Linked DNA regions of Yarrowia lipolytica. The protein of the gene in region 1 interacts with the protein of each later gene in a pairwise test. Links are inferred from orthologs where the notes say so. Each region holds a gene or a part of one and is shown in the gene's direction. Other genes may lie near its edges. The genes, in order: YALI1_B04248g and YALI1_B26926g.

Region 1 (15,315 bases):
GGCGGGAGCTCCAGCGGTGGCTCCTCCAAAGCTTAGAGCAGGCTTAGCAGTATCATCCTTCTTCTCCTCAGTCTTGGCACCTCCGAAAGAGAAACCGCCCGTTGCTGCAGGCTTGGGAGCTTCATCCTTCTTCTCTTCGGTTTTTGCACCAAAAGAAAATCCTCCGGTGGCAGCAGGTTTGGGAGCCTCAGTCTTGGTGGCTCCTCCAAAGCTGAAGCTGGGCTTTGCAGCAGAGTCAGTAGAAGCAGCAGCGGGCTTGTCTTCCGTCTTGGTTGCTCCAAAACCTCCAAAGGAAGGCTTAGGCGCGGCAGCAGCGTCGGCAGGCTTGGCTCCAAACGAGAATCCTCCAGTAGATGCGGCAGGAGCAGCAGGCTTATCGTCGGTCTTAGCAGCACCGAATCCTCCAAACGAGGGCTTGGAAGAAGCGGCTCCTCCTCCAAACAGACCTCCAGAGGCCGCAGGGGCGGCAGTCGACGATGCAGCAGGAGTAGAAGCAGAAGGAGTGGCACCGAAACTAAACTTGGGAGCAGATGACGCTCCAGCTCCAGCTCCAGCTCCAGCTCCAGCTCCAGAAGCGCCAGAGGCACTGAATAACGAGGGCTTGGCAGCTCCTCCAGCTGCGGCACCTCCTCCAAAAAGACCGCCAGTGCCTCCGGATGTGTTGGTGTTGTTTGTGGTTTTGTTGTTGTTGTTACCAGCTCCAAACGAGAAGCCGGTGGATCCCGATCCGGTGGTACCAGAAGAGGCATTGTTGCCCAGGTTGAATCCTCCGCCAGTTTTACCAGTGTTGGCTCCAAACGAGAATCCGCTGCTCATGTTGGATGTGTTTTTGTGTGGTGATGCTAAAGATGTTTTTCGATATGTATGCACAAAAAATCAAACTTTCGTGTGTTGCTGGGGAGGTGAGATGGTGAACACACAACAGTGTAAGCAGGGAGTATGTAGGCAATGGAAAGAAATTGTAGCAATATTTTACCGGGAATGGGTTATATATTCTGCAGTTGATACCTGCGTCTCTCATTACTTGATGACCCTGTGCTTTTTCTGACTGTATTGTAGTCACCAGTATGTAGCTACTGTCGCTACTCACTATCGAAAACCGTAGACAGCCTAAAAAACATACTTGCAATTACGGTAAGTACTGTACTTGATGTACTTGGGATATAACTTCAGCTCTTTGAACAGCCCCACCACAGCTCTTGTTGTCAGATAAGGCGTTGTTGGAATGAAGACATGTCAATTCCAGTGCTGTACGAGTACGAGTACTGTAGTTGAAAATCCTCATCGAGTACTTGTACATTCTTAACCAGTACTTGTACACTCCCCACCTCACCGTACGCTATCAAACGAATTGGAGGAGTGGACTGTTATGGTCTCTGGCACAGCAGGCACCCTTGACAACCTTTACAGTATGTACAGTAGCGACAGTATCTTCCATACTTCACTTTACAGTAAATTAAAGAATACACCAAAACTCGTTCTCAAGCTCTTGTCAAAAAACTCCAAAAAAATATAAAATATATAATATATTATATATATCGCGATACCTCATTAATTCTCACGTGACACAGATTATTAACGTCTCGTACCAACCACAGATTACGACCCATTCGCAGTCACAGTTCACTAGGGTTTGGGTTGCATCCGTTGAGAGTGGTTTGTTTTTAACCTTCTCCATGTGCTCACTCAGGTTTTGGGTTCAGATCAAATCAAGGCGTGAACCACTGTTTGAGGACAAATGTGACACAACCAACCAGTGTCAGGGGCAAGTCCGTGACAAAGGGGAAGATACAATGCAATTACTGACAGTTACGGACTGCCTCGATGCCCTAACCTTGCCCCAAAATAAGACAACTGTCCTCGTTTAAGCGCAACCCTATTCAGCGTCACGTCATAATAGCGTTTGGATAGCACTAGTCTATGAGGAGCGTTTTATGTTGCGGTGAGGGCGATTGGTGCTCATATGGGTTCAATTGAGGTGGTGGAACGAGCTTAGTCTTCAATTGAGGTGCGAGCGACACAATTGGGTGTCACGTGGCCTAATTGACCTCGGATCGTGGAGTCCCCAGTTATACAGCAACCACGAGGTGCATGAGTAGGAGACGTCACCAGACAATAGGGTTTTTTTGGACTGGAGAGGGTAGGGCAAAAGCGCTCAACGGGCTGTTTGGGGAGCTATGGGGGAGGAATTGGCGATATTTGTGAGGTTGACGGCTCCGATTTGCGTGTTTTGTCGCTTCTGCATCTCCCCATACCCATATCTTCCCTCCCCACCTCTTTCCACGATAATTTTACGGATCAGCAATAAGGTTCCTTCTCCTAGTTTCCACGTCCATATATATCTATGCTGCGTCGTCCTTTTCGTGACATCACCAAAACACATACAAAAATGCCTAAACTGATTCTGCTGCGACACGGCCAGTCCGACTGGAACGAGAAGAACCTGTTCACCGGATGGGTCGACGTCAAGCTCTCCGAGCTCGGCCACACCGAGGCCAAGCGAGCCGGTACTCTGCTCAAGGAGTCCGGTCTCAAGCCCCAGATTCTCTACACCTCCGAGCTCTCTCGAGCCATCCAGACCGCCAACATTGCTCTGGATGAGGCCGACCGACTGTGGATCCCCACCAAGCGATCGTGGCGACTCAACGAGCGACACTACGGCGCTCTGCAGGGCAAGGACAAGGCCGCCACTCTCGCCGAGTACGGCCCCGAGCAGTTCCAGCTCTGGCGACGATCTTTTGACGTCCCTCCTCCCCCTATCGCTGACGACGACAAGTGGTCTCAGTACAACGACGAGCGATACCAGGACATCCCCAAGGATATTCTGCCCAAGACCGAGTCTCTGAAGCTCGTGATTGACCGACTCCTTCCTTACTACAACTCCGACATTGTCCCCGACCTTAAGGCCGGCAAGACCGTCCTCATTGCTGCCCACGGAAACTCCCTCCGAGCTCTCGTCAAGCACCTCGACGGTATCTCCGATGACGATATCGCCGCCCTTAACATCCCCACCGGTATCCCCCTGGTCTACGACCTTGATGACAACCTCAAGCCTACCAAGGCCGCCGAGTACCTCGACCCCGAGGCCGCCGCTGCCGGTGCCGCTGCGGTTGCCAACCAGGGTAAGAAGTAAACTTCGAGCTAATCCAGTAGCTTACGTTACCCAGGGGCAGGTCAACTGGCTAGCCACGAGTCTGTCCCAGGTCGCAATTTAGTGTAATAAACAATATATATATTGAGTCTAAAGGGAATTGTAGCTATTGTGATTGTGTGATTTTCGTCTTGCTGGTTCTTATTGTGTCCCATTCGTTTCATCCTGATGAGGACCCCTGGAACCGGTGTTTTCTTAGTCTCTGCAATCGCTAGTCTTGTTGCTATGACAGTTGCGTCGACACTATTCAGGTCATCTATCGGTTATTCTGATATTATACCATGAAGAAACCTCCCAGGCACAAATCTCGTTATCAGAAGAGTCTGCACTGAAGTCGTCTCTACACGAATTGTCGAATTTCCAGTTACTTGAGATTTTGTTAGACAAAAGTCAGCCAGGAGTGCAAATTCAGTGTTCCAGAGGGGAGCAGTTGATGGAGAAGTGTTTTGAAAGAGAGATCCAGGCGCTCAATTCAATTGAAGAAATATAATTTACGACTCACAATATTAATATACGGAGTTCTCGGAGCTTTCTTTGCTGTTGATGAGTTTACGTAGGGTTAGTGGAGGAAGAGAGTCAGCTCAGCTTGGGTTAATCAATAATAAATGTATAATTATGTGTGTGTCTATTTGAAAGCATCAGTGAGAGTAACCAACACCGTTAACAGCTTGGCAGCATCAACAAGACTGTCGGTGCCAATCAGCGGCTTCTTCTTGCCGCTCTTCTTTTCCAAGTCATCCTCCTTGTACTGAGACTTGTTGAGTACGTCCTTTTTGAACAGAGCCACCACTAGATGGCGTCTGTCTCGCAGAATGGTGCCAACCCGCTCAATAGTCACATGGTTTTCCGATCCCATGGAAAGAACAATGGCTGTAAGCAGACGCAGAACAGGAGTCAGGATCTGGTAGTACAGCTCTACGGGGTCCACCGTCTTGTCCTTCTTGGCCTCCTTAGTAGCCAGCTGGATGCCAACGTCAGGGTCAGTGTTGAGGAAAAGACACTCATGAAGGGTCTGAAAAATGCCACATTGCACGACCTGGAAGGCTCCAGTTCGAGTCTGCGCAATCTCAAGCAGGAAAAACATGACTGCTCGGAAAGCTGTAACCTCAGACATGATCTTGTCGAGAGGCAACTGCTCAGAAGTGGAATGAATCAGCTGGTCGGTAGTCTTCAGGCTTCGAACCAGCAACAATAGCAGGTTGTATCGAACCAGACAGTCCAGGACGAAGGGAGATTCAGTTCTGGTACACAGGGAGGCCAAAGACTCTAGGAACATGAGAGCCAATGTTCTCTGGTGTGTGGTTCCGGAAATGGCGTCGGAACAAACAGTCTCAAGCAACTTGTCTCCCGAAGTACGCACCACCTGGTAGTTTTGTTTCAACAGAGAAGGGTTTGAGGCCGCCGACTCAAGGTACTTGTGGCAGATGATGTACAGGTCGGAACGGAGTGTGGGGGTGGAAACCGGCGTTCTGATGGCTCCAATGCAGGCTCTGAACAGAGCGTGGGATCTGTCTCGACCAGCAGAGGAGTTCATCGCCTCAATGTCTCGTCTGTACATTTCAAACAGAGAGCAGAGGAGAGATGCTAAAACCTCAGCAAAGTCCGAGTCAGAAGAAGCGTAGTATCCGAGCTTGGGCACAATCTTCTGTAGAGCCTCCAGGATGAAAACAGACCGATCGGGAGCGTTCATCTCACAGTCGTTGAGCAAAATGAGAACCAACTGGCACCACGAGTTGAGGAAATCTAGCTGTCGCTGTCGCATTCGCCCACTAGCTCGCACGCCCATCTCAAATTCGAGAAGCTCGTCCATTTGGGCATCCAACATGGGGATCTCGTCCTCAGTAACGAAACCAGTCTTGGTCAGCTCATAAGCTCGAAGCTGGTAAAGCTTCGTCAGCAGACCGTAGATGTCAATCAGCTTGTCTTTGCCGAAAGTCTTGTCCACATACTCTCGGTTGATGGACGAGAAGAGTCCGAAATCAGGCTGGGTGCTGATCCGAGTGTCCCATTGGAACTCAAGAACATCCAGGAACGAAAGAGCAGTTGTGGAGATCTGAGAAGCAGCGTAGTGCCACTGGGGCTTCTTGTCAAGAGTCACCAGGGAGTCCAGGTACCGCTTTACGACAGACAACGAACCCTTGACAGCAGAAGCGTGGACCTCCATACTAAAGTACTCGAAGAGAGCAGTTCTGTGGTGGAAGAAAGAAGAGAAAGCTGCAGGAGCAGGACTCATGATAAAATGTTTCTTCATGTCGAGCACCTGTCCGTTCCAGAGAGTCTGTCTGTCGGTGACAGGCTCCTCAGCGAGAATCTGGGCGAAGAAGCCAAAGTCTCGCAAAATTCTTAACGTGATGGCAGCCGAGTTTTGGTTCCGACACAAATGCATCACGACCTTTGCGCATTCAGCAGCGAATTCAGCCGAGTCAAGGAAGACGTTGCAAGGGTCAATATTGGCAACAGACTGAGTGAGCTGAGAGAGAATGACCCCAAAGACGGAGTTTCGATTGGCAACACCATAAGTGCCGTTGTCGGCAGCCAGAGAGCCGTCTCCGTTGATTGCAAATCCGAGCAGGAAATGAGCAACGGTAGCATCAGCGGAATCACGGCCCAGGTTAGAAGAAATGAATTGCAGAATCGACAGCTTGAGCTCCAGACCGGTAGCCTTGTGATGCTCGTGCTCGTAGTCGTCGAAGGGTCGCTCGAGTTGTTCCACAATGCCAGACTTGATCTTCTGGGCGTCAGAGTATGTCTTGAATGCTCGCAGCAGACGGTTCTGGGGCTCCAGGCTCGTGGCGATTCGTCCATCGTTGTCGTTGAACAGGGACGATTGAGAAACTCGAGACAGAATGCTGAAAGAGGTAGCAGCAATGCCAGCATTGGCAGACGCCATGTGATGGGCTAGATGGGGAATGACAGTCATCCGGAAGAGAATGGCCTCCTCGAACGAATGTACACTCATGTTGCTGATGATCTGGTCGTTCTTCTTGCTCATCTCCTGCAGAACAGGCAGCATGTTGTCGATGAAGTTTTCCTCCATGCTGAACACCAGATCGACAATAGCCAGAGCACATGCAGTTCGCTCAATCTCGTACCGAGCAAGGTTAGAAGACATATCAGCTGACGTCTCACACAGACCCAGAATAATGGTGTACAGCTTTTCGTTGAAAATCAAAGCCATGGCCAGAGGACAAGGATGAGCAATGAGGTATTGCTTGAATGTCAGGTCGTTGTCCATAATCTTGTCAAGAGACACACCAGCCGCTGCGGCAAGTCTGATTGTGTCGGGGTTGAAGAGTCTGAGACAACTCTTTGCGAAGTTGAAACAAGTGATTTGCAGGATCATTTTTTGACTCTCTTCTAGTTGAGCGACGGAAGAGTAGTAGAGAATATCCTCCAGCATGTAGTTAACATACACCCAGACGCCAGGGAATCTGTAGTTGGCACCCAGCTCGAATGGGAAAGGAAGAGCAGGCACAATAGGATCTCCACCAATATCGACGACAGGGTACATGAGCCGTTCAACGAGCTTGGAGAATCCAACAGCACTCTGAAGATCGGTGATGAGACCCTGAAGTCGCTCACGGGGAGACAAGTTGTTGTTGAGGATTCGTCCATCGGCTGTGTAGTAAACAGACTGAAAAGCCCAGGCGTCCAGACGAGTCCAGAGGAGTCGCTTGACCTCCAGAGGGGCATCAACTGCTAGACCGGACAGAGCTTCCAGGACAATTCCAGTTACTCCAGTCTCAACTGTCAGCAATCCAAACACTCGATCTACCAAGCCGGCCTCGAAAAGGTATTCTCTTGCCTCAGGGGAGTATGCCAGCACCTGCGAAACCAAGTGCATGTATGCCTCAATCATCATCGTGGCCTGTCTGTCTAGCACAGGGGCAGCGACTTGAACCAGCGCATTGGGCATTGTGGTGGTTCCACGCTCAGGAACCTGGGGGGAAAGAGCATCGACGTAGAAGTCGAAAGCGTCCAGAACCTGATGCCAAGTGAGTCTAGGGTTTCTGGTTTTGGGCAACTCAGCAGCCAAAAATCGGTGGGCGTTGGATGCACATTCGGGACCAGTAGATAGAGAAGCCAGCATGTTTGTGGCAGTAGCAGCCATGAGAGGAGAGTCGGCGAAATGAGAAGCCCAATCCACAAAACCGTACAGATCACTCTCGCCATCAACCCAGTAATCCAAAGCAGCATCAGGGTGGCCATCGTAAAGATTTGACACCATCATGTAGAACCGTTCCAGATCACGTCCCACATCGTCTTGAAGCTGAAGGTCGGGATCAGATACGGCCTCGTTGGCCAGGAAAGTGTCTTCTTCGGACTGTTTCATCTGCTTGAGCAAGTCGGGAAGATGTGAAATGAACGTGCTAATGAACCACTGCATCTGACGGGTCCAGAGTACCTCGAAATCAGCCGACAGTCGTCGCAGAAACTTGAACTCGGGCACTCGCTGCTGTAGAGCAGGCCGCATATCGTAGAACACGTTTCGGACGTTGAATGCAGCAGTGTCAGTTGCCAATGCGTATCCAAACTCCAGAGCACCCTCGTCGATAGCCTCTCGACAGACATCGAGGATGTCGCGTGTGAAGTTCACTTGAGAACTGAGACCTTCGTCTGAACGTGCCAGGGCAGCTAATCCTGCAAGAAATGCAAGCTGGATGAACCGCTGGAATGTAGGAATGCCCCACTCAATTGACTTGCTGAACAGGTCGCTTCGGAGCTTGAGAGTGTCGCCAACAGAGAGTCGCTGGATATTGTCGGCTTCAATCAGACCGAAGACGGACAGCAAAGCAGGCACGTGATGCAAAAGCAGGGTGTTATATGCTCGAAGCGAAGAAGCAGCGGTAATCAGCTTCTTAATGGAGTCGAAATCGAGCTTCTCGGACAGAATCAACACAGTGATGGTTTGGCCCAGATCCTCATGTTCCTGCAGAATGAAGTCCCGCCGCAGTTTGAGTGTCGCCTCGAACTTAGGGTCCTGGTTTCGGCCCAGAAAGACTCCCTGCTTCTCCTTTTCGTCCAGATCCTTCAGAGCATTTACATCCTTGGACATGTTGTCGACGCACTTGTCGAACACTTCCTTGTGGGGTCCAATAACAGCTGCGATCTTCTTGAGCTCGCTAATCAATTCGGGCTTATCCTTCTCCTCATGAATCCAAAAATATAGGAAACGAACTGTGTCGAGTATACGTTGTCGACGTGTGTAGTAGGCGTAGATTGCAGCTTCACTGAGAGACATGTCGGAGCCTTGTCGAGAAGAGATGGCGTACTCGACGAGCTCTGCAGCAGCTGCTTCGTTTAGTTGAAGCTCATCTGCGATGAGAAGCGTTCCCTCGATAAACTCAGGAGAGAGTTGACGTTCATCGTCTCCAAATGTGTATTTTCCTGAGTTAGTAGGGTGTCATGGCAACCTTTGCCGGGAGTCATGTTCTCCATCACAGCGCGAATAAGATAGCAGCTGGTACAGATAAAGCAGTCCGAGGGATCTGATCAAGGAGACGCCGCACAGCAACGTGTCATGGACCCGGTTCCATGTCCTGATTGGTGACGAGCTTCCATCACCTCCCTTGTTACACCACCCAATCCCGCCAATCACGCGCCGAATTTTTCCGCCATCTGGAACCACAGTCGTCGTTCCTGCAATACTCACCCTTCTGGATAGTCTCCCGATCAGAAGCACTCTGTTTCGGATTGTCCAGAGACATCTTAAAGTCATCCTTCAGGTACGAGACCTCGTTCAGCATCTTCCGAAGGTTGTTGGCGTCCACATCGTCGTCGTGGAGCTCCTTGGACAGTGTCTGCATCGTGTCCCGCAGCCGATCAAACAGCTCCAGAGACCACGTAAGCATTGTTGATGTTTTTTTTGGTGATGCCACTGAAGATGTTTTGGATGTTGATAAAAGTTTGGAATGACATGCATGCACAAAGCTTAACCAATTCTGAACAGATTGTGATTACGGTGATAAAAGACGGAGAGGAGTGGATAATGTAACATTTGATAGCTTTGGTGACTTCTTGATGAGACATTGAATGGGAATGTGTAAAAAAATGTGCTTCGATTCATACAGAAATCCTCCCAAAAGAAGCTTGCTGTGTTTTACTTAAGTAGCTGTTAACTGTATTATTGAAGTTGTAGTTCACATTAGTTAGGCAATGGAGGAGAAGCCCTCTCTCGGTTGATGTGGGCCAATAGTGACAATTTTTCAGCAAGTTATTCTCACATCCATTTGATTGTACCAGAAACAAAATTGACTACATATTTGTTTGATAAATTCACATTCGAGAGACCAAAAGTTGTGGAGGTAGACCGAACCTAGATTCAGCAGGCCCCCAACTGGTCATTGGAGGCCCCCTTCTTCATCAATTGAAGAAAAAATCAGGGAAACGAGCTACATTATTGCAATTGTCTACTCTCAGGCAGTCTATTTCGGTCTGCTCACTTTCCATCCACCTACCACTATCATCCCACCATCTTCCGCACCGACACTGCCAAAGTTTCACTGTGCATAACCATACAGGCTTATCATCACACTTGGACATACAACTCATCTCTTCATACAGCTTCGTGTTCAACAAGAATGACTTTCAGTGAACCTCAGAAACGCATTTCTTCGGCCGCCGATGTCGACTCCTTCAAGCGATCTCAGCCTTACGCCACCATCATCTCGTTACTGGACAAGTACTCGTCTACAGTTCAAGAGCATCTTCTGCCCCCCAATGAAGACGAGCTAGCGGCCAGTTCCAAGGCTCTCGTCACTTTGTGTCGCAAACTCAGTGCTCTTATTGACGAAACGCCACCGCTGGAGGGCCCTCGGCGATTTGGAAACGTCGCTGTTAGAGACTGGCATGACAAGATGGAGGCCCAAACTACAGCTCTACTGACAGAGGCGTTCCCTAGCATCAACAAGGACTCGATTATCGAGCTACAATACTACCTCCACGGGGGAATGGGCTCGAAACAGCGTCTGGATTTTGGAACAGGCCATGAGCTCTCATTCATGGCATTTGTGGGGGGCCTTCAGAAACTGGGTCTCCTGGAAACAGATCTGCCTGCTCCAGACGTGCTCTTCATCTTTGAGACATACTTTGTGCTTGTCAGAAAACTTATCATGACATACTCTCTGGAACCTGCTGGATCTCACGGAGTTTGGGGTTTGGATGACCACTCCCATCTCCCTTACATTCTTGGATCGGCTCAGAAGGTGTCACGATCAGTAACTGCATCTACCCTTCTGGTTCCCACAAAGTACGATAAAGAGTGTCCCCCTTCGAGTGTCATGAATCCTCGAATCGTCCAGCAGCAAAAGACTACCAACCTGTACTTTGCAGCTATTGCCTTCATTTACGATATCAAGTCTGGCCCCTTCTATGAGCACTCCCCCATCCTCTACGATATTTCTGGAATTGCCACCTGGGCTAAGATCCACTCAGGAATGATCAAAATGTACATTGCAGAAGTTCTGGGAAAGTTCCCTGTTGTCCAGCACTTTTACTTTGGTTCAGAGCTATATCCCTGGAAGGATACTGAAGGTAACGACCTGCCCTACTCCAAGGTGGAGGACGAAGAGCCCGTCAAGCCCAAGCTTCCCCTTGGATTCAAGTCCAAGAAGGAACCGCAGACTACTCCTCATGCTCGTTTGCCACTTATGGGCCCAAGAGGTATGCCAATGGAGACTGTGGAGCGTCTAGCTCGTCGAGACGGTCAGCGTGCAGCGAGAGAGAAGGAGGAGAGAGAGGACAGGGCTAGTGGGGGTGCTTCTGGCACTACTGGAGCTCCTGGTGCAACTGCATTGCCTCCCACCAGAGCTCCGGGCTCAAGTGTTCCTGGAGGAGATGCACCAGGCATGGCCCCCACGAAAGCTCCTTGGGCTAAATAGGAAGATGAAATGCATCAATAGTGTCCATGTCGTCACTACAGTAGTTACAGTATTGTAATTATACTGTACTTGTACTATAGTGTATGTCATACAGTGCCCCACCTTAACAGACAGGTGACTCGTATGGAAGTCTAAAAATCCACCTTATCTTTACTGTATATATAAGTGACAGTCCCTTCTTTGGTTTGAGCTGTTTGTACAAGTACACCCAACTTATGACGCGCATGTTATTTCTTCTTCCAGTACTGCTGCTACTTCAGCTAGCACAGGCCCGCAACATGATCTTGCAGCTCAAAAACGAGACGCATCTCTCCGACTTCTTCACCCTGAATCCGCACTTTCTGGCTCATTTCGACAAGTACCACAGTTTCGGCAACTTCCAGGCTCTTGCCGGGGACATCCCCAGTTCTCTGGTCTACGCCCTTGCCAAGAACTTGATGGTGAGTGATACCTTTTGATACCCCTTCGGATGTGGTGTTGTGTAACACAGACTATGTGATGTGATACTTGAGATTACTAGAGATTGAGCAGATGTGATATCGAGATGTCTATCAACGTGTATACTCTAAGGCTGATGCAGCAGTTTGTAACATACAAACTATCACTGCTACGTACGAGTATAACCAAGTTGTCCCCTCTATCAATAACCTGTCAGTCACTAACACAGATCAAAGATTGGACCTTCGACATCGATGTCAAGATTTACGACGTTCAGGCCAACGCTCCTCGCCACCTTGCCCGAACATCCAACCTCGAGCCCATCAGCGCCTTCGGTCCCCAGGACTTTGTCCACGACCCTTCCGACGGAAGCGGCGTCGACATCTACATTCTAGATACTGGAGTGCGTCATCAGCACATTGAATTTGAGAACCGAGGCAAACCAGGTCGAGACTTCACCGGCGAGGGCATGGGTGATCAAAACGGCCATGGCACCCATGTTGCCGGCCTAGCTGCGTCTAAGACCTACGGTATAGCGAAAAAGGCCAACATCATTGATGTCAAGGTCACTGGAGAGGACGGTATGGGAGCCCTCTCATCTGTACTCGCCGGTTTGGAGTGGGCCGCGGCTGAGATCCATCGGAACGGCCGTCCCGCGGTTATCAACATGAGTTTGGGAGCACCTAAGAACTCGGTGTTCAACGCTGCGGTCGAGGCTGCGATCGACTCTGGCATTCCTGTGGTGGTGGCTGCAGGCAACACCAACACCCCTGCGTGTCTGGACTCGCCTGCTAGTGCTAACGGGGTTCTGACCGTCGGGGCGTTTGACGACAGGACGGACACGATTGCCAGCTTCTCCAACTGGGGCCAGTGTGTGGACATTTTTGCGCCCGGCGTAGAGGTGATTTCGCTGTCGAACCAGAACAATCGGGGCACAGTGGCTCAGTCTGGCTCGTCCATGTCGGCTCCACTTGCCGCAGGGTTAGTGGCATATTACCTTGGCATGGGAGACGAGCCCCACAAGGCCATGACACGAATACGAGACTGGGCCAACATGAACCGGCTGAGTCGTCGGGGCATGATGTTCAAGCCGTTTACGCCCAACAAGATTCTGTTCAATTTGGCCGGAGAGCCACTATGGTGACATCTAGTGGTAAAAATATCTGACTTACTTCCGTATTATTAGTCAGGTATTTAAGGTTGATGACGACGCAGCAAGTTGCAGTGGAAGTCTATGTGTATTACCGAGGGGGGCGAGGAGGAACGGTGAGTGGGAGGTGGGAGGGTGAGCGAAATTGTGCTATTGGGAGGTATAATAAATGGAGGTGACATGAGCAAGCAGGCCGACGAAGAGAGGGCGGGGTGGGTAGCTAACGGTGTGGGCACGCGACAGGATTCACCATAGACGAGTAGCTGTAGATGATAGGCTGTATCGATTTCCAGAGGGGCGAGAAAAAGAAAATGGCCGATTAGCTAGCATCAACTTTTTCTACTTTCTAGTTTATTCTCCGCAATGACGTACAGTTCGAAATTCAGTTTGGTTTGGCTTGGTGTGATAATTCACTCTATCCAAGTCTGACTTTATCATCCACCTCACCTGAAAATAGACGAGTCGACCAGACCAGTGTTACTTCCAGGAACGATCAATCGACCGCGAGCATTTTTACGGACTACTTCGGGATTATTGACGGCCTTGACACGCGACTTTTGCACGAGACCTTTTTTTGCACACACGAACTTTGACCTTTTGGACCTCTCTCTCAACAGACTAGACACATCCGCACCCACTCATTCGCTACACGTTACGACACCACCATGATACGAGCGGACCGACACACGTACAAGGTGTTCAACCAGGAATTCACCATAGACAAGCGGTTCCAGGTGACCAAAGAGCTGGGCCATGGCGCGTACGGCATTGTGTGTGCAGCCAAGTACACTGGGACGCCTGATGGGCCTGGAGTTGCTATCAAGAAGGTGACCAACATTTTCTCGAAAAACATTCTGTGTAAGCGGGCGTTGCGGGAGCTCAAGCTACTGAACCACTTCCGGGGGCACAAGAACATCACCTGTCTGTACGATATGGACATTGTGGACACCAACAATTTCAACGAGCTGTATCTGTACGAAGAGCTCATGGAGTGCGATATGCATCAGATCATCCGGTCCGGCCAGCCTCTGACTGACGCCCATTACCAGTCGTTTGTTTACCAGATTCTCGCCGGTGTCAAGTACATTCATTCCGCCGATGTTCTCCATCGGGATCTTAAACCCGGCAATTTGCTGGTTAACGCCGACTGTGAGCTCAAGATTTGCGATTTCGGACTTGCGCGTGGATTCTCTTCCGACGACGAAAAGAATGCCGGTTTCCTGACAGAATACGTCGCCACCCGGTGGTACAGAGCCCCGGAGATCATGCTCTCTTTCCAGTCTTACACAAAGGCCATTGACATCTGGTCCGTGGGCTGCATTCTGGCCGAGCTTCTGGGAGGAAAGCCGCTGTTCAAGGGCAAGAACTACGTCGACCAGCTCAATCAAATTCTGCACTACCTCGGAACGCCCTCGGAGGAGACTCTCAAGCGAATCGGCAGTCCCAGAGCCCAGGAGTACGTTCGGGGTCTTCCCTTCATGCCCAAGATTCCCTTTTCCACGCTATTCCCCACCGCCAACCCCGAGGCTCTGGATCTGCTGGAGAAAATGCTTGCCTTCGATCCTGCGGAGCGAGTGACGGTTGAGGAGGCTCTTGAGCACCCCTACCTGAAGATCTGGCACGATCCCCGAGATGAGCCTGTGTGTCCCACTCCGTTCGACTTCTCGTTCGAGGAGGTCAATGACATGGAGGCAATGAAGCAGATGATTCTGGACGAGGTTGTGGACTTCCGGGCCATGGTTCGAAAGCCTGTCGATGAGCAGACACGAATCAGAGACGAGCAGATCGAGGAGCAGCGGAGAGAGGAGGAGAAGCAGGAGGTGGAGAGACAACAGAAGGAGGCTGAACGTCAGAAGCAACACCAGCAGGAAGCTGAGAGACAGCAACACCAGCAGCAGCAACATCACCCTCAACAGCAGGACTCTCCATCCACCCTGTCGGGCTTCTCGGACTCGGACCAGTCTGCTAACCCCCACTTTTACGAGTACGCCGGCTTTGGAGTCGGCTCACAGACCTCGGACATGGGCCAGCCACCCGTCATTCAGCGAAAGGACTCTCTGGGTATCCCCGAGGAGGACTTCAAGTACCAGGACCCGCCACCAAAGCCCCAGGAGTCCGGACGCCAGGGAGATGGCGACCTGGAGCTCGAGCTGGAGTACGGCTTGGATGGATGGAGAAGTTGATTTTGGTGAAAAGACGTTTGGATATTTTAATGGTAGGGGCAGGCAGGATATGATACTTATAGAGTGTAATATAATGGCATGATGAGACGACATGGGGGAGGTAGATTGGAAGATGGGATGCCTTGTTTCTCGCACAGACGGTCTTTATGTGTTAATATTAAACAGCTACGAGTGCTGATGAGAGAGTACGAAATGCGGTGTTCGAAAGGGGTCACTGATCTATTGCACTGCTGGAGAGCGGATATCGCAGAGGTTAAGAAGACATACTGTGTTGACCAAGGAGAGGCTCCAAGAGGGGGCTGGTTGTGGCCGTCCCTTTACAAGTACTGTATGTACAGTACATCATGTATATTAATAATAGTGGTGGTACCCGGTCAGCACAATAGTGACCTACATACTCTGGTGTCAGTTCAATCTTCTGCTTCCTCTTTCAGTGACTGTTTTCTCGGTATATATTGTACTTGTACTTCAAGGCCGTGTGGACCTGTTCTACAGTAAGTGCGAATACTCCAT
Region 2 (15,924 bases), about 2.3 Mb from region 1:
GTGCGCAACCTCGTGATCGCATTGAATGAAAGCAGGCATGAAAATAGCTTTTCAGAGGACAATAAAAGGTGTCAAGTATTATATGCGATGAATCTGAGGAGGCCAACGACAGGTGCGAGCAGTCATGATCTGGGTTGACTGAAGGATGAGAGAAGGCTGTTTGAAGATTTTGGCCGCGGCAATTAGCCGGAGGTGTTACGTAGCTAGACTACAAAGACTATGGATAAAACAAGGTGTTTTTTCTTGAAAATAATATCTGAAAAGATTCTCATCATCCTCAATCCCTCTACAAGCTCAGTCTGTACAACATGTACATATTGTACTTTTCAATAGTGCTCGCAATCAGTTGGAAAGCAATGTGACTAATATGGATTCATTGGAGCGTAAAAACTGGTGTACCACACGTTAACCAAAAGATGCTATAATAATCCCCCCAACTCTAGCTATATAGCTATCCAAAAATGTCACCAGCCTACAGTATGTAGCATACACGCAAGAGTACAGTATTTGTTAGATATCGTTTATTAGATACATACAGTAATTGATAATATATGGGTAAAGGAGAGTAATACCTCCTGGTACCTCCTGCCAGCCACAACCTTGATGACCCGCCGTTACACTAATAATGTGTGCTTTCTCGTAACTATTGTGGACCCTAAAATAGCCCTGCCATCCATTTTTGACTAGTTCACCTATTCAAGAGGTAACAATTCGCTCCGCTACTTTCATCAACCGTCGAAATGGAACTCCCTCCGGAAACTGTGTACAATATATTTGCCCATGCCGAGCTCGAAACGTGTGTGGATTTGAGGGAAGTGAGTACCTTCTGGTACGCGGCATTCAACCAGCTGGATGCACGGCTCTTGAAGCAGAAAGTGAAAGAGAGGAACCCTTGGTGTTGAAGCCTGGAGAAGACGGAACGGAACTGAAAACATGGAGGGATTGTGTCCGGGTGTTTGTGGGACGTTTGGGGGTCAGGTAAGTGGACGTCAATTGAGTGTCTCGAGGACATTAAATACCCTACAGAGCTGACAGAAGCGATTTCCTTGAATATTGACGGGGTAGAGACCACTCTTCCAAAAGATTACAAGCCTCTGATGGTCACGCGAGAGCCACAGTACAACACCATGTTGGAGCTGGATGACAATTACTACATGGACTTGCATACCATGATGGCTCATAGATCTCAGCCTCCTTCATCGCTACTGGACTTTCTCAGGACAGTTGAAGAGACTGACGAAATAGGAGTATACGACTGTGATGGTGTGAGAGTTGTTGTTCCGATAGACATGGTCACGAATAAAACAAGCTGTGACGTCAACGAAGACATGGTGGTGGTGTACAGCGCACAGGACGTGTGGATTTTTTGCCTCGAGAATACCCAGACTTTCGGCAAGGACGCGGATGGAAGCGTTCAGGAAAGGGAATCACTAACCGAAGAGGTCAAAGAAATATGACCTCTGGTTATACGTTTTTGGTCGAGGATGATGATCTTTTGCGGGTTCCACAGCCAATGGTGCTTGTTGTCGATCTGGACAACCGACGAGTGCTTCATATTGCAGAGACACGAGATGTCAAGTTTGATGAATCACATGTCGATACTGACGAGGTTCCCAAAACTAATTCGTTTCTATCGTCGGTCGTAGGAGTTAACTCGGTTTATAATGGACTCCAATGGATGGTAGACCGTTCTCCAGAAGGGTACATGGGGTTATTTCCCATTTTCATCGACATGAAAGATATTCCTGAGGACGATGGAAGTGGGACTACAAGAGTGAGCAAGATGTACTATTGTAAAGACCGGATCATGCTGTTCGAAAGGTACATGGACTCTCTCTTCTCTAGTATCCCACGGGGGGCTCAACCATACGTACTGTTTCTCTATATTACCGTGTATTTTGGGGGAAAGAGACAAGAATCTTTATTAATTGTGGATCTGGCTACCTGGAATGTCTGGTTGATGAAAGAAAACTTTGAGTTGAACCAAGGCTCTCTGGTATTATTTGGACGAGAATTGTTTGTTGGATATTCAGAGGGAAAACTGGGAGCCTAGATGTACAGTCAGGATATGATCGATATCTACAAGACACGTTTACTGCGAATGAAGATGTTGTATCCACGCAGGGGGGAATATGACGTGGGCAGGGACATGAGCCTGGAGGATGATTTTGAGGTACAGGACCAGTTGGAGTAGAGTAGGAGTAGGAGATGGTGTTATAATTTATTGTAATTTGTGTTTTTTATTCGAGTATGCTGTACACTACATATTATACATAGATTGAACTGACAACGGAGTCACAATAGGAAGCCTCGTATGTACACAAACTATGGTAGATATTTATGGAGGCTTGTTAATACCCTGAGAACATGTTAACACCTCATTGAGTCCGTTAAAATCAAAAAAATTATCGACACTAGAATCCAGTGTTTCTATACTGAATTATCAAGAATGTTGGTAGACAAAGCGTATGTACTGGTACAACTACAAAGTATGTGAGTAGAACTGAATTACCAATACGAGTATTGTAAAACACATTAATTAATAGACTTCTTGGGCTGTGTTATATCACATGACCATCAACAACTACCACCAGTTATAGTACAGTACCACAGGCTACTGCTATCACTTGCTATGCTTCGATACACCCTCCCACGTGCTCGGACCTACTGTCTTCATTACATCAACAGTACACTAATTATCAGTCATTGCTATGTACGAGCTCTTTAGCTATTGAATAAATACGATATCACATTCCAATCAAGTTCCAGCCTTGTGATTGGTCAAGACCAGTAACGGGTTCACTGGTTCTCCTTCTCGTCACAATCTGACTCCTCAGACATGGACTTCTGAAGTCGAGCGTTGAAGGACAATCCAGGCTTAGCCTTGTTGTTGCTGTGTTAGTAGGAACTGGGGAGATATTAGATCACGGGGTGCAACCTGACGAAGTGTTTTGTGGTTCGACAGATCTTGATACCAGGTAGATCAGTGAAAGCCATGGAGAGGAAAGGCACAACAGGTAGGTTGTGAGGTTCCAATCACGTGTGATAGGCCACATGATTGTCAGCTGACTTAGAAATACTCACATAGAGATGTATTTGTTCTTGTGGGCTCTCAGCTTGGCGGAGCATGGGCTCATGAGGTTGTCGGTTGGACTGGCAAAGCTCTTCTGCTGAAACAACTTCTTGTGGAGCTGTCGCTGCATCATGTTGCCGGAGTTACCGGAAGAAGGGTTGAGGGGAGCCTGGTTCATTTTTCTGTGTGTGGAAGGGAGATGTTGAATGTAGTGTTTAGGACCCAGGACCCTCTCTATATATCAGTTTAAGGGCCCATGTATGTGTGAGCAGGGATTTAGAGTTGTTTGGATCCGTCCTAATTGGGATTAGCCATTGCCTTAAATATGCATGAGAGATGTATATAGAGTGACCGGGAGATGGTGCAATATGGGATGTGAGATGTAAATAGAAGTCTATAAAGGGTGGTATCAAGATATATAGGACTATCTAAAAGCATCCATTGCATTATTATTTTAATCCCATTACTATTCGTCCAGATATAGTAACTATTCCATTCTTCCGCCCCATCGACACTGTATCTAGGCAACCATAAACGCGTACACTGTAGTATGCGTTAAAAATATTTTGGCTTTCAATTAAGCTCCTCAATTTAGGCACTGCAAAATGTGATTTCAAACGGTGCGAGATAGCAAGGCGGCATTGGCGTGGGGTTTTCATGAAGAAAACATCATCAATGTGACCAATGGGACTGTATTTTTGGCTGGTATGATTTTTGGCTGTATAATTCGCAATTGTCGTGGTCTTTCTGCCACTATTACCAGCCCTTTCTCATCGACTAATTGTAGACTGTATGAAGTTTCAGATTATCATTCGAAGACGATACAGTGTGGAACATGGCATTGTCTATGCCAGATCAACGAGGAGTAGTAGCAATTCTTGGTGAGTCGAAAGTGGCTTAAGTTGAGGGCAAATGGAAAGTGTACGATCTCGATTTACTTGTATAGAATGTGCGAAACGGGAGCAATAAGCATTTTCCGATCAGAGCAAGATATGCAATGAGCCGTGGAAGGCAAAGGTGCGAGCAACGTACAGTAATACCTATGCCTAACAATTCAATTCATCCAGATCACGTATTATCAGCTACTAGTATCTATCACATGTAGCAACGACGTATTATTATTGTTACAGCGCGATCGTGAGATCGTCTACAGTGTGGAGATGTACAGTGCTACTTGCAGTGACCAGTGGATCGTACAGTCAGAGACGACGGCATCCAGGGGTAGGTGCGCAGCATGTGAACCGTACATTTAATGTTGAATATTGTCATATATGGTGGAGATGATAGCAAAGACTTCTGTCATCAGGTGGGTTGATGACGTCAGGGCTGGTTCTTGAGGTGGATCATGAGCATTAGCTGTCCCGATAGTTGACATTAGTTTGGATACGTAAATTAGTTGAGAGTTTAGTTGAGATGTGAATATTGAGACTGATCGGATACAATAGAGGAATCTACATAGCTTCAAATGGGAATCTGACTGATCATGTGTTTTCATTGCACCAGTTTCAGTAGACCTGGGGTTTTGGTGGCTCATAATAAGACCCACAGAGCCCTATAGAAGCCATATCTGATGACTAACATCCCAACGTTTTGAATACTTGGGCAACATTTGGAGCTCACTTCTAAGCAAAAGTAGGGCTAGGAACAACAGCAAAATCCCACGGAAAACTCTGTGTATGAGTGGAGGAATCAGCCTGGCTCAGCGGCAGCTAAATAAAAAAAAAAAAGACACGAACCTCAAGTTTGAGCATGATCAGTAAGGGGCCCGAGGTACGTTTAGGACATCTACCATGGTATAGGCCAATATGTACTATGGACGCAAACAATGATATCCACAGGATCGAGCTGAATCAGACGAGCATTCAGATATCAAGGCTTCCACAACTTTTTACTCGATTACCCCATAATGAGGCATATTCTTAGCTTCTTGACTTTGGGGGTCGTTAACCTGTTGGTGGAGTTTGACCTTGAGTCTAATAGTACGCGAAATACAACCGAAGTATGCTTCGAAAAGCAGTCACTTCTATGTACTTGGAGTACTACAAGTAGCTCCTTGACAATATATACCAATAGGGCCTGTCACTAAGATGCAAAATGACTCCTTCCTCCCCGCCTTTTCTCCTTCCAAACTCAGTTCAATAAATGGCTGTTATTAGTTCATATCACTGGTATCTTGGTTGTAACTTTCCGTGCCAACATTCCGTCAATTGTTCCGTGCAGTTTCCATGGCGCAGCCAAATATGCAGAGCTTAAGGACACGCCAATATGGCAGCAATGGGACGACAGTTGAAATACTTGTATGTACGAATATTGATTGGATGGGGGTACGCGACACCCAAGTATATGTCTCATATATCAGAACCACTCGAGGTCCAACTCCGTCAAATAACTGCTCTGCGTTATAGCCGTTCACATATATATTTTCGGAGTTGGATTTTTCGGCGTTTTCGGAAAAAAAGCCTCGGCCGACAATCCGTAATCGCCGACGGGGATCCCCAGACCTTATGACTTCAGGACAAGGTAGATATAGCTCATGTTGCGGTCACGAGGAGGTCGTTAGAGTGCAGCGCCCTCACATGTCACTAAAACGGCTAAAATAGATCCGTTTCTTTATGCGCGCACCACGTGTCTTTTTTGTGTCTCGTTCGTGACGGAACAGAGTGGATCGGGTCAGCACGGCATAGTAAGGCTGAAGGCAGGAGTTACTAAAAGAGTAGCGCTCCAAGCACGAGTATCAGTAAGAGTACGAGTACGTATACGTCATAGTGCCTATGATGATAGCCAATGGCTGGTATAGACAAAGACAGTCTGGTATATTACCGCTCCCCCAGGACACATGACGACGTCGGGTCGTTGTTCCGTGTCCCGTTCTGGCTGTCTCGCCTTCTTTGCTGTTCCACAGCTTAATTCGGAGATGGCTATCTGAATACATGGTTGCTGTGTGGATGAGACAATCACGTGACAGTGTGATCCGTGGGGCGCTCACGCAAATTCCGCAGCTCCAATCTGCTTCTTTTCTTTGCTACTGTAATCTCATGACACGCACGCCGATTATTAAAAGTACTCTTGCCCCTTGGGTGTATGTGTGTCTCTCTGTCCTGTCAAATAAGTTCACCTTCAATGGATGCTTAGTGTTGGAACCTTGATGTTAGCGTGAACTTTGTGCATGTCCCAAAATGGCCCAAAAACGGCAGTCTCAAGTGGAACCATAAACTCGGCCGGGTAATTGCACGACGTGGAGGCAATGGGGTCTAGTGGATGGAGCAGTGTTGTAGTCGTAGGCGTCGAGGTAGGGGTGAATTGACAACGGCAGAGGGCCATATAAAGGTATATTGGATCTTCTTCAACTTCTCTACCCCCCCACCGGAATACGTACAAGTAGTAAATACCTCCTTCATCTTTCCCATTTCTATAGATACCCAAATGTCGCAGGTCACAGAAACCCCTTAAAGTTCAGATCGCCATCTCCCGTTTCTCTCTTCTGTGCAACAGATTGTACTTGACCCTCAAGCTGGGACTCACACGCCGCTTCACATCACCGCTCCAGCACCACACCTTTATTTCGACTGACCTAGCACACACAGATAGACGCGACTTGGACGAACCCCTGCTAAACACATCATGAACTCGTTCTTCAACTCCGTGTCGGATTTCATCCACTCGGTCACAACCCCAGACAGATACGCGTCGCAACAGCGATCGTCAAAGGCGTCACAAAGCGCCGGCGCAAACTCCCAGAACAGACCGCTCTACAACAATGACGACAACCAGAGTGAAATGTACCAGGCTTCCTCCTCGTACACTGGAGGGTACACAAACTCCCCTTCGGCGTCGTCGTCCAATCTCGCCGGAGGAGCCGCTGCTGACAGAGCCAACCCCTACAGCTCCCGTAACAACTCGACCACCAACTTCTCGGCCTCATCCACGTCGGTCAATAAGGCTCCCTACGCTCCTGGATCACGGTCGTCCGCAATTGGAAACAATGACCCCGCAGGAGTCACCCGAGACTCACACGAATTGCAGGAGTACGTTGACGGTCAGCCGCCGGCTCCTTCGGTGGCCATGTCATGGGAGCGAATCGACAAGTGGGCTGACGAACACTACCCCGAGCTCAACGATCAGCTCTGCTACCCTGCCACCGCCTCCGATCTCAACGAACTGGAGGCCGATCTCGACTGTTCCCTTCCCCTGGATGTTCGAGACTCGTGTCTGATTCATGACGGCCAGGAGAAGTTTGGCCGACCCTCAGGCATCATCTTCGGCATCACCCTGCTCGATCTCGAGACCATTGCCGAGGAGTGGTACTCGTGGAAAAAGGCCGCCATCCGAATCAACCGGGAGATTGCTCGGGCCACCGGCCAGACCCCCACTAAGCAGGGCGGCATCTTCATCAATCCCAACGCCGGCTCTCCCAACTCTTCCACCCCCGGTTCCCCCGTGGCCTCTGTGGCCCGACAAAAGAACATCAGCTCATGGCTCGCGTCGCAGGACTCTGTCCCCGAGGGAGCCGTCCAGCTGGTTTATGCACACCCCGGCTGGATCCCTCTGGCCAACGATCGAGCCGGAAACAACATTGCTGTCGATCTGGCACCTGGCAAGAAGGGGAAATGGGGTCAGGTGATTCTGTTCGGTCGGGAGTTTGACCGAAAATACGTGGTGGCCCAGTCGTGGGCTCACTTCCTGGCCATGGTCGCCGATGACTTTGACCGGGGCAACTGGGAAGTTGACCACGACACTGAGGAGCTGTGGTTCAAGACCGACCGAGGCACATTTGTTAGCTACTTCACTGTACTCAAGACCCGAGTGGAGCGACAGTTCCGACACCAGATGCAGCGACGGGAACATGAGCGACGACAGGCCGCTGCCGCCGCTCAGCAGCAGCAGCAGCAGCAGCAACATCACGCACAGGGAGGCCTCCACTCTCCCTCACCACAGCATACACAGAGCATGCCAGCCCCTGGCCTGGGCAAGCCCCTGACCTCTAAGCCGGCCCAGGATTTGGACATCGTCGACCTCAACGAGGACACTGCCACCATTAAGGACAAGGGCAAGGCTACTATGGGCTCTGCTCTCCGAAAGACTATTGTTGACGAGAGCAAGACTGCTCACACAATTGTGGAGCCTCTTGAGGAGTCTGAGGAGATCAAGGGCAAGGGCAAGGGCAAGGAGGAGGATGTCAACGAAGCCGCCGAAAAGGCCAAGGTGGAGGCCACCGAGAAGACCAAGAAGGCTGCCAAGGAAGCTGCTGATAAGGAAGCAGAGCTCAAGAAGGCCGCCGAGAAGGCCGCTGAGGAGAAGGCCAAGGCTGAGAAGAAGGCTGCTGAGGCTCGAGAGAAGGAGGAGAAGGAGGCCAAGGCTGCCGCCAAAGCCAAGGAGGAGGAGCTCAAGAAAGAGGAGGTAGCTAAGGCTGCCGCCAAGGCTGAAGAGGAGCAGAAGGCCACCGCTGCCGCTGAGGCTGCCAAGGCTGAGGCTAAGCGAGCTGCTGAGGCCGACGCTTCCAAGAAGGTAGAGGCCGAGAAGGCTGCCGCTGAGGAGTCTAAGGAGTCTAAGGCTGAGTCTGAGGAGAGCAAGGTCGAGAGGGATCTCGAGGAGCTCAAGATTGACGAGGAAAACGGTAATGCCGAGGAGGCCGATGAGGAGGCCGATGACGATGATGAAGATGACGAGGAGGAGGGTGACAGCAAGGAGGGTGAGGAGACCAAGAGCACAACCGCCTCAAAGTCCAAGTCCAAGAAGAAGAATAAGAAGAAGGGCAAGAAATAATGTATGTATGCATAACTTTTTGATGATGCTGTAAGATATTCAGAAAATATAAAAAAAGTGTTTGTTACAGAAAGACTGGGTGTGTTTCGTGTTGAATTACCTGTGAGAACAATAAGGTGGCTCGGCCCACTGTAATGTACATACTGTTACTATAGCTACTTGTAGCAATGGTATCAGAGAAGCTAGTTTTGGAGAACATTCTGTTGACCAAAGACGAGTCGTTTCGGTTCATCTTCTTTCCTCCCTCCCCAAGTGTATCTTGCTTTATCCCAGAGGCCATTCTGTTTCTCCACTTCTCCATTATAGTATGCTTTTGCTCTGAAGAAGCCAAATGCAAAATTGGACACAAACATGGACCCCAGGAAAAGCAGTGAAATGAGCCCCAAGGCCTTGTATGAGAATCTGTCAATGAACCCCGTGATGATTTCGGCCAGTGTTTCGGCTCCGAGACGGGCTCGGTTAACGGCATGTTCGTCTCTGTTCATGCACAGTTCCCATTGGTCACAGAGAGTCTCCAGAGCTGGACGGCGGGAGTTGGCTGCACATTCGTTAAGCAGGTACAGCTTTGCACACTTGCTTTTTGCCATAAGGATCTCGCCCGAATGAGCTGAGAACTTGAAACCAACGTCCTGTCGGACCGAGGAAATAAATAAGTAGACCACGTAGGCCATGACGGCCAGCATGATGCCGTTGAACGCGAGCTGTAGATACGAGGTAATGATGTACGGCAGGTTGGGGTTTTGAATCATCCATCCAAGGGTTGGGTTGGGCAGATGAAGGTGGTATTCTGCAGACTGATCCTGCCCCGGGCTTTGAGCCTCGGAAGTGTGAAGAGTTGGTGCTGGAGTGTGTACTGCTGCCTGGGCAGATTGAGGAGAGAAGTCGCCGTGTTTAGCGTCTGGTCGAAGATCGGGATCGATATCGTCTGCCTGATCAAGGGGTTTACCTTCATTGACAGGGGAGTAGAGGACCATGCTCATATCCACGTCTTCATTCTTCTCAATCTCCTTGACAGCAAACTGGGCACCGAGTTCAGTGGGATTGAACACAGATGAGATCTTCCATGGCGAGTTGGGTGCCGCAGCAGCAACTGACACCGAGGAAGTTCTTCTCTTACCTGCCTTGATGGGTGTAGACACAGGCGGAAGGAACTCGGGGTTCATGCGCGATAGGTTGACAGATTGAAGGTCAAGAAGATCCGTGGGGTCGTCAATGTCCATTTCGTCGGGGTCTTGGGTCTCGCTAGTTCGCAGATTGGAGAACTCCGAGGTCAGATCGTCAAACGGTTGTTGTTGCTGCAAGGGTCGGTGGTATTGTAACTGACGGTTCCGGACATCCTGGTCAGATAACGTGAAGCCACTGAATCCGGTCACCAGAGGCTCGTCGTCGGGCGCTTCGTCGATACTCATTTCTGCAAATGACATGGTTGTAGTTATGTCATACAGTGTATGCCACTTGAAACTTGATGCCAGCCGTATGCAGCCCGAGATGCATGAAAACAGATATTATTTTTGTTTAGCTGTATTAAGGTTACTTGGTACACTACAAGTAGTTTAGTCCCAACACAAGCAACGTGCGTACACTTGTGTGCCCATGCTCCACGCCACACAGAACAGCTCAGATTGCCTCTTCTCCGAGCTCGACAGTGATACCGACACAGACAAACCACTGCTTCACGATACCTCACACACCGTTCGTTTCTGCGAACCCCAGACCAAGCGGCGCATGGGCTTCCGCAAGTGGTTTTCTAGGACCAGCAATGAGAAGAGGCCTCTCATAGACCGCATCACCACACCCATGGACGAGATTTTGACCGACGAACCGCCCACGACTACAGACGCTTTGACTTCTCCTCCACGTGGCAGAAAATACAGAGACCATCAGAGAGAAGAGTATGAACGAAGACAGCATTATGAGAGGACGCGAGAACGGGACAGAGACAGGGACAGAGAGGGAGATAAGTACAGTGTTCCCCGGAGACAGCTTCAGGACTCTGCTCGTTGGCATGAACATGTCAGACAACAGCAACCTCACATACATCAAGCACACCAGATACCATACCAGATACCATACCAGATGCCACCAGGGCTGAGGCAACATATGCATCCTGCGTATCTTCAGCCACGACAGATCAGCCAGACGCCAGACGCCATATCGGGATACCCCAACCAGTCGTTACTGCGACCAATGTCTCAGGTGATTGAACCGCGATACATACGGACAGAGGGATTCCCTGTACCACCAGTGAAGTACGCACAGGTCCCCCAGGGAATGAAAGCGGAGATAATGGAGCTGAAGGACGATGCTGGAAATGATAAGAATGAGGAAAAGAAGTATGCCAAGGATAAGAAGGACGACAAGAAGAAGGAAAGCGAAAGTCCGCAAATGCAGTCAAATATTGAGAAGATGGTCAAGAACGCGTTACAGAACCATCGCCCGGCAGTCTACGAGACTCTTGTTCGGATGAACTCGTTTGTCCTTTCGCTTAAGTTAGCCCTCTGTATAGCCTGTGTGGCTTTTTATCCACTGGTAGGTATTCTTCTCATTGTGGTTCTTTTTGGGTCTGAGATCTTGCTTGAACTAGCTATAAAGTGTGGTCCTGACAGGAGTTAGCTAAAAGACAGTACATACTCGTACCTGTATGTAGCTATGTAAGAGGATATATAGTGTACCATGAAATATACAGTAGCCATTTTGGAGACTATTGTCTCTGGCCTTTAATCTGTGTGTGCCTAATTCGTTTCTGCTATTTATGTTTCCATCTCATCAATTGTAAATCCTATCAGGAAGAGTTTCCATCATATTAGTCCAGGTTCGCTCATCTACCCAGGATCTGAGATTTTGCAGAATGGCATGATTATCAATAACTCTGAAAGGCTCCACATCTCCAGGATTGAGCAGCAGTCTCTGTTTTCCTCCGCCAGTGTGGGGCCAATCAGAAGCCCAAATTAGCTTGTTGGGGCTCTCCGAGGCGAAGAACTGAACCACTTCTTCTAAGTCGCTGTATCCAGGCCCCTGTTCAGACAATCTGTAGAATCCAGAGACTCGAATGAGCACATTTTTAGCAGTCAGCTTGATGAGGGACTCGAATCCAGTGTCTCCGGGGCTCTTCATCCCACCCAAATGGTCTGCAATTACCGTTACTGGTAGGTTCCCAATGACATCAAACAGACTGTCCCAGTAGTTTGGTGGAATATAGGCCTGGATGAAGTAGCCGAGAGGGCCGACAAGAGCGGCTGTCTTGACTAGGGTCTTAGAGACATATTCAACGTCCAATTGACCGGTAGACACGACATTGACTCTGACACCTCTGATACCCAGTTCCCACCACTCTTGCAGCAGCTCCACGGGTGTGTTATCAGGATCAATTACCACCACTCCTCTCAATTTGTATCCGTTTTGCCGATCGGAGTGACCTCTGAGCGTGTCAATAATAAGCGAATTGTCTGTTCCATAAGGCGAGGGCTGGACCAGTACATTGTTACCAATCATGCCTCCACACAGATATCTGGAATGGGCCTCCAGACCAGGTAGAAGTGCCTGGTCGGTAGTGTATGTTCGTCTTCCGGCAAACGGATAATTAATTGGGTCAAATAGATGAACGTGTGTATCCCACGAGTTTGGCGAAAGCATTTTGTGTACTGTTGGTATTGCTGGGTGCACGTCTGAGGAAGGTCGCCTGGCTTATATGCACCCCACACTCGTCTAGGTTCAAAGTTGATCCGGAGCTTTTAGGTCGGATCCGAGTCGGTCTATTTGTAGTGGAACAAATGCGGATGCAAACCGATTAATGGAGATCTATCCACATGCCATCAGTCGTGCGACATTCTAAATCAAGCTGCTCATCTGTTTTTGTGTGGTTACTGAGGGCATCTCGTTGATCCTTTTATTAACACAGCCTTGCCGTCGAAATCATAAATGTGGGGCATGAAGGTGTAATCTCAACACCACGAAACACCTCAACGGAGAGGAAGGTGGAGCTCAAACGCTCAAATATGCTCAAAAGAGGCGGTGGGGGAATTTGAATCAGAAATGAGACAAGTGCACTTCAGTGCTGCTCCCCAAAGCTGCAATATGAAGCTTGAGGGTACAACGCAGACAACGATATATCCACAGGCTACTGCTAAAAGCTGGCGCGTGGATATAAGAAAACTGTCAGCTGTCAAATTCATCAGAATGGATCTAGAGTAGTGAAATTGAGGCCCAACAATTTACCGACCGTGGAATAAAAAAAAAACCAATTTCAACACCCCTCGTGGACTAAATACAGCAATTTGATGTCGCTCTATACGGCACTCACCAGTGGTTACTGCCAATTAGGTTTGCGCTCGCTAAGCGGAAAAATGAACCTTGCTAGCGGAACATATTTTAACGTGATACAAGAATACAGGGGATGTAAGATGAGGTGAGACGAGGATGGTTTAGCTGAATTGTGTCTCTACTCGGTGTCAGATACACTTTCTTGCAAGTGTCTGTTTACGTAGCTTGGTCCTGATGGCCACCTTGATCATCGTGACATCTGTCTACTTGTAGTTCCACACTATCCCCACCAAGGCAACCTAGCTCTGATTAGCTACATGCATCGTTATGGCGTCATTGGGTCATGAAACAGTAATCTTGTAACGTACAGTAATACAACATCGATGGTTAAAGGTGAGATAATTGGTGAGATAAAAGGATCTCCATTTCCTGTCGTACGACTACTGTAGCCTATACACGGTTGTTGTTTTTTTCAGATCTAATCACGTTGGGCACAAAATAGAAAAGATACTTGAACAAAAGCACAGGTTGCACTGATCCCACTATTAGTTGTCATTTTACTTCAGAATAAAAGTAGCTTGGAGCTCATTAATGTTTTATTCAATTCATTCTCGAACGTCATGGCATCCATCTCCCATGCATCTATCTCCCAATACTATATACATGTCTATCACTCGTCGTCAGAATAGTCACTGAGCTCGGCGTCCTCCAGCTCAACAGCATCGTCGTTAAGAGGAAACCGCAGAATAGCAGCAATACCTCCCAGGGCGTCAATTTGACGCCCCGAGTCCTGCAGATGCGAATACATAAAGACCTTGCCTCCGTTCTGCTGCACAGCCTGAGTGGCCTCAGCGTATCTGGATCTCTTAGCGTGATCGAATCCACGCACAAAGTTGGACGACAGGAACAACACAGAAACAGCGCTCATTTCGAGAGCGTAATCCACGTGCTTTTCTCCGTACCACACTCGATCTGGGTCTGTATGGAACATGCGTTGGAACTGGTCCATTTCGTTTCCGTCAGCAGCAATGGCCAGTTTGTTGAGTGCGGATTTGTAGGAGATTGACTTGAGAGCCTCTCGAATAGCAGTCTTGCCTTCGGACGAAGTTTCCAGTGTGATAAAGCCCTGTTGCAGCTGGATGGCTGTTTTCACCTTATTATCCACAGCCCATGCCTTGAAATACTCCGAGAAGAGCTTGTTCATGTAAGGCATGGAGATGAGCAGCACGGGAATAGTCCAGTCGGCTTTGCATCTGTTTTCAATGGTTCGCAGCAGCGTTTCCTTGGCCACGTTAAAGAAGTCGTTGTATTGCTTACCTCGAGTCTTTCCGACCGAGCCCTGTCCGTCGTATTTTCGAGGAATGGCCTTGTATCCCTGAACCAGCACTCGAGTGACACTATGACGCAGCTCGTAAATGGTGAACTTGCCAGTGGAGTTGAACACCATAGCAAGAGCGCTCATTGTGTCTGCTCCCACGTACTGGTCGAGCGTCTGGAGCGCAAAGAAATCCCAGAACTCCTTAATCACGGTCACCTCATCGCCTGGTGTAAGAGCCAACGTGTGATATTTCGTTTTGAGAGACTCGTGGTGGCCAGCATCGGTAATGACGCCTGTGATTCGGATTTCCTCGCCGTCGAAAACAATCTTCTGGGCACGAACAGTGATGTAAATGAGCTTTCGAAGCACCTTCTTCTTGCCTGCATTGCCCTGGATCTGCTCGTCATCAAAGGCGCCTGTGGTTTGTGGAACTGCTCGCAGTGTCTTGGCCTCGACCAAATCGCCTCTTTGGATCACGTTGGTCAGCGCATACAGGTCGTCAGTGGAATCCAGAGCGAGCTTTTTGTACTCCAGCTTGTTTTTCAGTCCCTTGGAGATGAGACGCATGTTGGATCAGATGTAGTAATAATGTCAGTAGAGAGCAGTTGTTGAGGTAAAAATGTCCTGTCGTGTATGTCAAGTCGGTTGATATCTATTGGTAAACGTGTCGGTTTCTGCTGAGCTTTGTCGGGGTGTTTGTGGAGGCTCAGGCACTGCTTTTATAAACTTGCTGATATATGGAAAAGGCTTGATTGGGACTGTGAGAACCTAAAGTTCATGTGGGATGTCATATAGACACCGGGTGATATGAGCACCCATACACATCCTTCCACACACATACCCTCACACATTCATTTCACCTATCATCTGTTATCATATTAATATGAGTTCATTTCGCGTTCAATATGTCGATATTTCTCCCAAAATTCATTATGTACTCCGCCCATACTAATATCCCTCCTAGCGATAGCTAAGGCCTATGCTATTTTGTAAGACAGGCAAATAACCTCAAGACGTACCGTACAGCATCCACCGTTGCATCATCACAGTAATATCGACATCACACCCAGGCGACAAGAGCGACACCTAGGCTTTGGGTTTCTCAATTCTCCACGACAACAAAACTGCGACGACACAACGACCTACATAACCGCCTCGTCAACATGTCCGATCCGTTTGCGAAAATCGGAGCGGTGTTGGAGTCAGCCAAAGAGCTGACTCTTGAAGCTGCAGTATCAGCATCATCACGACTTCTGGTAGACGACGCTCCCCTGTCAGCGGAGGAAATCAAAAAGCTTCTTAATGCGCGCAGCGACCGTGACAGATTGGCGGGTATGCGCCAGGTCATTGGTTTCATGTCCAAGGGCAGAGGAGAGGAAGCTCAGCAGTTCTTTCCGGACGTGATGCGAAACACGGCGTCCCAGTCTCTTGACATGCGCAAGCTCGTGTTTGTGTATCTGATCCGTTACGCTCCCATGGAGCACGATCTGGCTCTTATGAGCGTCAACAC

Evidence for each region.
Region 2: the proteins of YALI1_B04248g (region 1) and YALI1_B26926g interact in a two-hybrid assay, tested with the Saccharomyces cerevisiae proteins (2 studies listed by BioGRID). The link is inferred for Yarrowia lipolytica from reciprocal best matches to the Saccharomyces cerevisiae genes SLT2 and SMI1.

The regions. Positions count from the first base shown.
Region 1 is NC_090771.1:411,554-426,868, forward strand, and holds YALI1_B04248g (uncharacterized protein), read left to right. Parts: upstream 1-13,284; coding exon 13,285-14,802; downstream 14,803-15,315. Other genes in the region: YALI1_B04123g (uncharacterized protein), read right to left, coding at 1-816; YALI1_B04138g (uncharacterized protein), read left to right, coding at 2,345-3,133; YALI1_B04200g (uncharacterized protein), read right to left, coding at 3,777-8,539, 8,805-9,003; YALI1_B04212g (uncharacterized protein), read left to right, coding at 9,733-11,031; YALI1_B04228g (uncharacterized protein), read left to right, coding at 11,247-11,471, 11,699-12,613. UniProt on the Saccharomyces cerevisiae protein: Serine/threonine protein kinase involved in a signal transduction pathway that plays a role in yeast cell morphogenesis and cell growth.
Region 2 is NC_090771.1:2,685,935-2,701,858, forward strand, and holds YALI1_B26926g (uncharacterized protein), read left to right. Parts: upstream 1-6,694; coding exon 6,695-8,836; downstream 8,837-15,924. Other genes in the region: YALI1_B26874g (uncharacterized protein), read left to right, coding at 1,454-2,053; YALI1_B26888g (uncharacterized protein), read right to left, coding at 2,800-2,893, 3,085-3,251; YALI1_B26962g (uncharacterized protein), read right to left, coding at 9,019-10,260; YALI1_B26963g (uncharacterized protein), read left to right, coding at 10,430-11,449; YALI1_B26984g (uncharacterized protein), read right to left, coding at 11,603-12,469; YALI1_B27009g (uncharacterized protein), read right to left, coding at 13,767-14,981; YALI1_B27015g (uncharacterized protein), read left to right, coding at 15,578-15,924. UniProt on the Saccharomyces cerevisiae protein: Protein involved in the regulation of cell wall assembly and 1,3-beta-glucan synthesis, possibly through the transcriptional regulation of cell wall glucan and chitin synthesis.